Oryctolagus cuniculus: one gene and its partner. The protein of the gene in region 1 interacts with the protein of each later gene in a pairwise test. Links are inferred from orthologs where the notes say so. Each region holds a gene or a part of one and is shown in the gene's direction. Other genes may lie near its edges.

The links.
Region 2: the proteins of BACH2 (region 1) and BATF3 interact in binary tests that used the Homo sapiens proteins (3 or more experiments, as listed by UniProt). The link is inferred for Oryctolagus cuniculus from reciprocal best matches to the Homo sapiens genes BACH2 and BATF3.

What each region holds. Positions count from the first base shown.
Region 1 is NC_091436.1:82,212,433-82,216,959, forward strand, and holds the start of BACH2 (transcription regulator protein BACH2), read left to right. Parts: upstream 1-1,657; 5' UTR 1,658-2,053; intron 2,054-4,527. UniProt on the Homo sapiens protein: Transcriptional regulator that acts as a repressor or activator. Binds to Maf recognition elements (MARE). Plays an important role in coordinating transcription activation and repression by MAFK.
Region 2 is NC_091444.1:27,153,239-27,157,688, reverse strand, and holds the start of BATF3 (basic leucine zipper transcriptional factor ATF-like 3), read left to right. Parts: upstream 1-1,535; 5' UTR 1,536-1,760; coding exon 1,761-1,838; intron 1,839-4,269; coding exon 4,270-4,374; intron 4,375-4,450. UniProt on the Homo sapiens protein: AP-1 family transcription factor that controls the differentiation of CD8(+) thymic conventional dendritic cells in the immune system.

The sequences.
Region 1 (4,527 bases):
AGATGGTGACGAGAGCAGCCTGCAGCAGCAACTCCATGCTGATGCGCCCAGTTCTGCTCACAGCGGGGTAGCCACGACCTGCTTGGAAAAGAAGTGAATTTATTTAACCTTCATAGGCATGTTCTTCATCCTGGATCTTTCCAGAAAAGCACCGACTGGCATTGCTAAAATGCATAAAGGTATCTCACCAAGACACTCTTAACAGGGATAAGGAATGCAGAAGCGGAACCATCCACCAGACTAGGTAGAAATGGCCTGAGTAGGGCAGATCAGGGACCAGGATTCTGTCGTCAGCAGGGGTCTCAGAAACAGGGCAAAGGGGCACTGGGACCTAAAGTCAAGTGATCAAGGGCTACTCTGAGCTCCAAGGGTTTTTCTCATCTAAAACCCAAAAGGGTTAGCAAAGAAAACGTCCCAGGCCGGGCCCAGATCCACATGTCAAGGTCTTCCAGCGCTGTTAGAAAAATCAGCTTAGCGCCTTCAGCTTGCTTTTGGCCGTGGCTTAGCTTTCCACACAGCCGTTCCAAGTGGGGCCTTTAAAAATTCTGCCCTCAAATCGAAGGTGGCTGCAGCCACACTCCGGGTGATATCACGAGACTCCCAGGGCGAGGCTCCCCTGCTTCCTCAGCATATGCCAGTGCCTGTTTTATAGGGGGGATTTACGATCCTTCCCTCAGTAGAGCGAGCCAAAGTTTTATAATATTCATTAAAAATCAGCACCACATGCAATAATACGGAATAGTGCCCTTACCCAAGGGGCCAAGTTATAGGTGTTTAGGGAAACGTGGCAGAGTTTCCTGGCCTCTCCACGGGTAAAGCTGCAGGCAGCAGCACTGCACTCACCCAACCTAATTTTACTGCAAGCCTATCTCTCCAGCCTGGGTCCCTAACGACTCTCTTAAAACTCTAACTACCAAGCTTTCTCCTGACGGGGCAGCCGCGCGATGGCCATAGGGGCAACACCCTGCAGCCTCCAGGGACAGGCTGGCAAGGTGGCTGGAGCTGGGGAGCTGGACTTGGAATTGAGCTTCGCACAGAGCGAGCGCTCTTTCCATAACCTGGCCGGGGGTGCTTAGACGTTCCTGGAATGGGGCAGGCCGAGGCGCTGCTGAAAAAGATCCAAACGTTAGCCTCGGTCGGGTGCTCCTCTCGGTCGGCCTGTCCCTAGGCAGAAGCAGGGGTCCGGTCAGCCCTGGGGGAAGTGGGAGGGAGAGGGGTGCGTGGAGCACCTTTTCGGGCTTGTCCAGGAAAAACGCGCAGACCACAGCCCAGCAGTCTCAGGTCTCGCTCCCGGGCCTGGAGGCAGTGCCCTGGGCTCTGGCCCCTCTCCCGCCCTGGCCTCCCCAAGCCCAAACCCCTAACCCTGCTCTTGCAAGGCCCTGCCAGCCGAGCGGGCAGCCCCGCCGGGAGCAGAGGGCTCTGCGGGCCGCACGGCCGCACAAAGCGGGGAGCTCGGCGCGCCCCCTCCCGCGAGCCGGCGGAGCGCGCGCCCGCCCCCGCCCCCGGAGCGCCATTCGCGGAGCGGCTTACGCTAGTCGCCGGGCGTACGGCGCCCCAGCGGCCGGGGAGGTGCGCTGCCCGGCTCCCGTAAAGTTATTGTGAATGGGGAGCGGGTGACGTCAGCGCCGAATGTCAACAATGTAGCGATTGAGAGTGTGGGCGTTCCAGGGAGAGCGCAAGCCGCGCGGCACGGAGCAAACACCGCCGAGCCGCCGCCGCCGCAGCAGCCGCCGCCGCCGCCGCCGCACAGCACAGCAGCGGCCGTGCACGCCCGGCTGCGGTCGCACCAGCGCTCCCGCTCCCGCCGCCGCGCCCTCGCCGCCCGCTCCCGCCGCCGCCCCGCTCTCGCCCTCTCCCTGGCCGCTTCTCGCCCCTCCCCTCCCCCTTCCCGGCGCACTCGGGGGCTGGGAACGAGCTGCCATGTGATGCGCGTCCCCTCTGCGAGCCTTCGGTGACCCCCCGAACCGCCCACCGCGCCGGCTGCTGGGACGGGGCTCGGGCCGGGCAGACGTGGGGACGAGGAGGCGGAAAGGACGCGAAGTTCTCCGGCGAGGTGAGTCCCCGGCCCCGGCGGGGCGGCGGGCGAGCATGCAGGGGGAACGGGTGCGCGGGGCAGGCGGGGAGGCGTGGGGAAGCGGAGCCGCGGCCGCCCTGCCCAGCGCCCCGCGCGCAGCCGCCCGCCCCGCGCCCTCCCGCTTTTATGGCATTTTCTAGGAACGGGAAGCGGGTGGGCGCCGCGGCGAACGGGCGCTCTGCCGCCTGGCTGTTTACGGCGGGCGAGGCGGCATTGTATTTTGCTCGCGTCGACGGGTGTTTTGGAACAGCAGGGGGAGGAGGAGCAGAGGGTAATAAGTCAGGCGCGGGAGGGCGGGTGGAGCGAAGCGCGCGGCCGCGGGAGCTGCCGCAGCTGTCAGACCCACGGCCCTGCCCCGGCCGGGCCAAGCCTGTGCCGCCCGGCCCCCCGGCCCGCGAGACCCGCGCCCAGCCGGGCTGCCGCCTCCCGGTCCGCGCCGCCGCTCCTTTGCGCTCAGCTGTCAGCCGCTGCCGGTGGCCCAGACCGCAGCCGCTGGCGGGAGATCCAAGCCCAAGTTTAGGCTCCCAGGAAAGGGGCAGGTTGGGGGCTTCGCGGCGCACACCTGAGTGGAATCTCTGCCTCCCGGGTTGTCGGAATGCGTCCCGCGGAGCTTAAACCTGGGGCTCGAGGCTCCTGCAGGGAAGCCTCGCACCTCCCTCTCCCGGGGTACTGCACGAAGCCTACGTGCAACGCACGCACACAGCCCCGGAGCTCCACCTGGGAATGTCGGTCGGGGAGACCCCGGCTCTCCAAATCGAGGCGCGCCGTGGGTCTCGGTTCTAGCTGCCTGTGCGGCCGGGCACTCTGGACAGGGCGGCGGGCGGCGCTCACGGGCTACCCCAGCTGCCCGCGAGCCGGGGACTCCAACTAGCATCTCGACCGCCTCGATCTGGATGGGGATTTGCAAGAACTCGGGCCGGGCCGGGCCGGGCCGGGCGCACGTGTCTGCCTCGGGGCTTGTGGCGCGCGGGTTGTCCCGCACCCTCTCGCTTGCAGGCGAGTTGGACAACTTGGAGGGGGGCGGAGTTCCCCGGGCGGCTAGTGTCCCGGCTGGTTTTGTCTGTGGCCCTCCTGGCCACTGCCGTCGCCGCGACCCGTGGCCGCCGGGGAACGAGGAGTCGAGGGCGCCCCCACCGCGAGACAGAGCCGCAGACGCCCCGCGGGCGCGCGGGTGGGGAGGCGCGGCGTCCCCCGGTGTTCACCTTCGCTGTCTGGTGCTACAGTCTCTCACTCTGTGAAGTTCATCTGTTGAGCGTATTTAACTAAAAAGGGTAATTACTTTAGATAAAAATCCTTTCCTGCCTGGTGGGAACCTTGGCGGAGATGATGCCTAATGAGATATTTTGCTTTTGTCTGTTTAGAGTAAAATTAGAGATGTTAACTCTGATAACGGTTTTCTCAGATCATTAAAATGTAACATGTAGGAAGGGCATGTTGGCTGCGAAGGCTGTGGCTGACGTGCTGAGCGTGGAGGGCTGCCACTCTCGTGGAGGGAAGGGGCGTCTCGCTTCAAATGGGAGCCCGCCCCACCCTCAGTCTCTAGCAGCTCGCAAGGGAAACGGCGTTTTTTTTTTTTTTTTTTTCATTCTTGCAGGTAATAATAAGCGTGAGTCAAAATGACATCTTGTTAGAATTAGTCTTTAGTCTGTAAGAGAGATTGCTAAATTACAGTGTTGCGTTCAGACTGCTCCAGTGAAAGGTCTGTCAGCATTTCCATTATAAATTCAGTTTTTCAGGAGTTTATAATTTCACCACAAAACTTTGAGTGGCTGCAATGTGTTTTTCCCTTCCAGGGTTCTGGTTTAAAAAAAAAAAAACACATGCATTGGCTACCCACCTCTGTCCTATTTGCTGTTGTTGAGACTTGAACATCTTTCAGATGGCACAGGGATTGGGGGGTGGGGAGGGATGGAGAAGAAGTGGGTCCCAGAAGTGGTTAAAAAAAAAAAAGCAACCATGGAATAAAGTAGTTTTGCTAGAATGTAACTTTATGTGTGCAGAGTAGTGTTTCCATTCTGGATTTTGGAAGGCTTCAGATTTGCTGTTTGGTGATCATACGTGTGTTGGGTGAATTCTGTCTATTCTGCAGGTAGACTGACATGCCAGTTGGGATCACAAGGAGAAACACTCTCCTCGTGTGTGTGTGTGTGTGTATGTGTGTGTCTGAACTCAAAATTTTTGAACACTCCTAGCAGTTACTTTTCAGTCCTTTTTACGTTGCATGCCAGGATCTGCCCTAGAGAAGAAGGGGTGAGGCAGAAAGGGAGGAGGTAGTGGAGACCCCCCTGATTCCCCTTCAATATTGCCAGAGCCTGAGAGGAAGCTATGTATTCGCTGGCTGTTGAATTATGCCCTTCGACTGGGTATCGCCCAGCAGTTCCCTTCCAGGTGCTCACCTCTGGCTGCTGGGTGAGGGGCTGAACTATTTGCACACTGCCTTGAAATTCCCTGGA
Region 2 (4,450 bases), on another chromosome or scaffold:
AGGCTGGGGGAGAACAGAAAAGTGCCAACGACCGGAATCAGGGCGTGCACCTGAGTGTCCAGTGGTGCTGAGACCCTGTCCTTCGCATGCGCACACAGCATCGGAGATAACAGTGCTTCTGAATGTTACAACCACTTCACCCAGTGTTCCCCTGTCTTCTCTGAGTCCGTGTAATTTTTCCAGAATTAGAGATCTCAGCTGACCTCCCGCAATAGCTTTATCGAGCACCTGAGATAATGTGGTGCGCTGTGCTGGGTACATCGTGTGCACCTGTTCGAGGTGCTGGCCTGCGCGGGGTGCGACACAGGGATCTGAAAGAGTATTCCCCCCCCCGCCCCCAGTCCCCGTCTGCCCTGCGCCCTCTCGCCTCTTCCCTACCGCCCAGCTCCCCTGCTCTCCCGGACTTCCCACTGGCTTTCCTGCTGCTCTGAAGGCTTTGAAGACGAGTCTTAAATCCTGGCCGACAGTCACGTGCCCTGGCCTGGGAATCAGAATTTCTCGTGCCCCATCCCCCCCGCTGCCCACAAACCTGAAGGCCTCAGCGACTACACTGGGAAGGCATTTGTGACCTGCCCACCCGCCCACTCGGAGTCGCGGCTCGCTTCCCTTCCCAGCGCTGACTCCTCGCAGACCTCAAGCCGGTAACCGCTCGTTCTTTATTTGCTGGAACCACGTTCAACACTTATTAAGTGGCAGACAGGTTGGGGGTGGGGGGTGCAATACGCCCTGCCTTTGCCCTGTCCCCGCTGCGGCATGGGCGTGTGGCAGCAACCACACATCTTAAACCTACAGGCAGGGCACCTGCCGCTCCAATCTTGAACAAGGAAACGGTTCTGGTCCATCTGACTTCAGGATGATGGGGCCACAGTCCTGATCCGGTCGCCAGAGACGTTGTCCAACGTGTGGGATTCGCTCCCTGGGACGGCCGTCACTGTTCCCGTCCAGGACAGTGGCCCCTGCCCACGCTCCGGCTCACGGAATCCACGCTCGGGGCCGCCCCGCCTCGCTCCTTCCCGCAGCCCGGCAGGACCGGGAACAGAAAGGGCAGGTGCTCCCCGCAGAAAGGCCCGGGAACGCCCGCGCTCTGGGCGCGCGGCGCGACGCGTGAGGCTGCCGCCCCTCCCCGCGCCTGCGCCTCCTGGGCTGAGGACCGAGTGACGGTGGCGACCCAAAGGCCGAGTGCCCGGAGAGAGCCCCCAAAGCCCGACTCCCGCCGGGGCTGGGGGGCGGCAGGGAGGCGTAGGCAATGCGCAGACAAAACCACCACCCCCGACCACCCAGCTGCGTTTCTCACCCCGAGTGCCCCCAAGGCTGTGCCTCCCGACCCCCACCCACCCCAGCGTCGCCTCCCGCGGGTGGGCGTCGCGTTCCCTCCTCGGTTTCCGAGCCGCCACGTGACTTCGGGGCCCCAGCGAAAAGCCGCGCCTGAGGTGGGATTGGGGACCCCGAGGCGCAGCAGAGGGCGGGGAGAGGAGGAAACGGGGCGGAGGTGGGAGAAGGAGGCGGGGCGCACTTGGGGACGGGAAGGACCGCGGGCCGCGACCCGGGGGTGGGGAGCCCGGGCGGACGCGCGGCGCCGGCGAGCCGGGAGAGCGGGAAGCCCGCGGGGGCGGGGCGCAAGCCGACGGCCAGGTGCGGGCGAGGCGATGCGGGCGGTCGGAGGGCGCTCGTAGCCCGGGCCCCGCGTGCAGGGCGCCGCGGGCCGGGCCGCGCCTCCACCGGGCTGCGCGCGGGGCGGGCCGGCTGCACCAGCGCCCGGCATGTCGCAGGGGCTCCCGGCCGCTGGCGGCGTCCTGCAGAGGAGCGTCGCGGCGCCGGGGCATCAGCAGCAGCCGCAGGTAGTGGGCGAGAGACTCTGGGAGGGCCGCGGGGGCTCGCGGGTGGAGGGCGCTGCCGGCGCCAGAGACGAGTGGGACTAGGGGCGTGGGGGCGATGGCCCGGGGGTCCCGGCGTGCGCTTCGGCCGCGCCTGGGAGGGCTCCGAGTCCTCCGAGAGTGGAAAGGCCGCAGGGAGCGGACGTCCACTGTGGCAGGGCACTGCCCGCGCATCCTGGCACGTGGGGTCCACGCTGCCCCAGGGCCGTCGGTCCGGGCGCCGCCGAAGGCCACCACCCCGCAGCCGGCGTTTCCGGAGGGGCCCTTCAACCCAAAGGGGCGGCTCGTCCCCAGCCACTCCCAACACCCACCCTCCTCTGGCGGCTGCTGGAATGGGGAACGCGGTACGGGTCAGCCTGGGGGTGTGGGGCGGGGGCCGCGGCGGGGAGACTCCACCCCCAGCTCTGGTAGAACCCCCTCGTCCCCCTACCCCCCCTGCCGGCTCCCAGTCGGTCCTCCGCGCCGTCCCCAGCAGCACTTAGAGCTGTGCACGCAGAAAACTGGGACTAGGCTGCCGGCGGGGACGGCCCCTCGGAGCCTTAGCGCCCAGCTCCGCTTGGCGGCGGTTGGGGCTGGTTCTCGCGCTCTCTCCCCGGTGTGTGTCCGGCGCCTTTGGGCCTCGGCATCGCCACCCAGGCTGAGCAGCCTCGGCAATTCGCTTAATCTCTCCGTGCCTCGGTTTCCCCATTTGTGAAATGAGTAGAATAACGTCGACCTCCCAGGATTTTTTGTGAAAACTGAGTGAGACGTGCTTCATCATATAGGAACATCTCAAAATTGTACTCCCCTCTTTCTGCCTTAAGTAGTTCTGCCGGGCGGGCAGGTGTGACACGCATCCCTGATAGGTAATAAATCCAGTTTAGCGTGTCAGCTCCCAGAGGCATGATTTAGTGAAAAGCACTGTGAAGATTCAATTAAAAACAGCAGCCTCGGTTAGGGCAGGTAGCTTCAGGAGAGCAGGCTGCGTGCCCACGGGAGCTTCAGGATAGAATCTCGCTGTGTCCGGTGCCAGCCCCCAGCGCCAGGCTGTTGGCCGAAGGCAGCGGGGAGCACCAACATCTGTTCAGGAATTGTGTCCCCACCGCATAGGCAGTGCCTAGCACACCTGCAGGTGCTCCGAAAGAATGAATGAATCACAGTCGGGAACGGAAAACTCAGAGAAGTTCGGTCATTTACTCCAGGCCATCTGACAGTAAGAGACAAAGCCAGGATCCTTGACGGTCTGCGTGTCTTTAGCAAGACTTCTTGGCCTCTCTACAAGATTACCTTGTTACACCTGTCTCTATTCTATTATAATGTAAACTATTTATTCTTCTCCTTTTATATCTTTATATTTTTGCATATGCTGGGACTTCTTTCCTACTGGAAGTTGGGGAGATGATATGTGCCTGTCTTATTTGGAATGCAAGGCCAGATAAGATAACTTAAAATATCCATTAGTTTGTGTTATTTGCTTTCCATGAATAATTGAGTAGCTTTCTGTGTTTGCAACCCCACTAACCTCTTGGTTTTTAGACTCTTTAGAAAGAAGGTTTGTGTGTGTGTGTGTGTGTGTGTGTGTGTGTTTCCCTTGATATCTTCTCACTGGGCTCTGGAAAGCAAATACTGCTCTTCTTTTCCATGATTTCTGTAACTGGCTGCAGAGTTTTTGTGCAGTAGCTCCGTTTTTCGGTCTCCCTGTTTCACGATTCCCCCTTGAAGGAGTTGACTAAGTTTGGCTCAGATCTCGTGTGAAGCTAAGAGTTTTCAGGACACATCATAACTTTGCTTTCTGATTCACTGTAACCTCTGAAGCAATGTCAGCCACACATTGTTCAAATGAGCACGTTGCCAGGGCACTTCAGATCGCTTGGCGTGTTGGTGGCGTCACGTGTTTGCCGTCAGGTGCGAGTGTAAGCGCGGCCTGCAGCCACTCTCCCGAGGACCTGCTCGGCCTGGCCGCGTGAGGGCTGGCGTCCAGCAAGCTCCACACAGCTATGCCCCTAGCTTTCCCAGTCTGCCCCGGCAGCACTGACACCACAGCTCTTCCAGGCACACGCCCTGTGGGGTAGAGGTTTGCCAACGGTGGTTTGGAGACTAACAGACCTGAGTTCCACTTCCTACTCCCTCACTCACTAGCTGGTACCTGCAGCAAGTTCCTTAACCTGTCTGGGTTTCTTATTCCTCATCTTTTTAGATGGCGGTCACACCCCATTTTTCAGGGTAGGTGGCATGGCCCCCAGGGAGTGGTCCTCAACCCTGAGCCCAATGGGGTAGCAATGAACACGGATGTTGATTGCAAATACTCCTACCGTGGTGGAGCCCAGTGAACAGCGCTGAGCAAAGAGAGGGCAGAGTGAGGGGTCTCAACTTCAAACCTCACCGAATGTCTCTCCCTACCCCCCTCACTCCCCAGAGCCCTGAGGATGATGACAGGAAGGTGCGAAGGAGAGAAAAAAACCGAGTTGCTGCTCAGAGAAGTCGGAAGAAGCAGACCCAGAAGGCTGACAAACTCCACGAGGTGAGACTGCTTGGGGCAAAGCCACGTGGGAGCCACAGGGAGGAGCCTTCTCCACCCTTGCAGCCAGGTGATGATG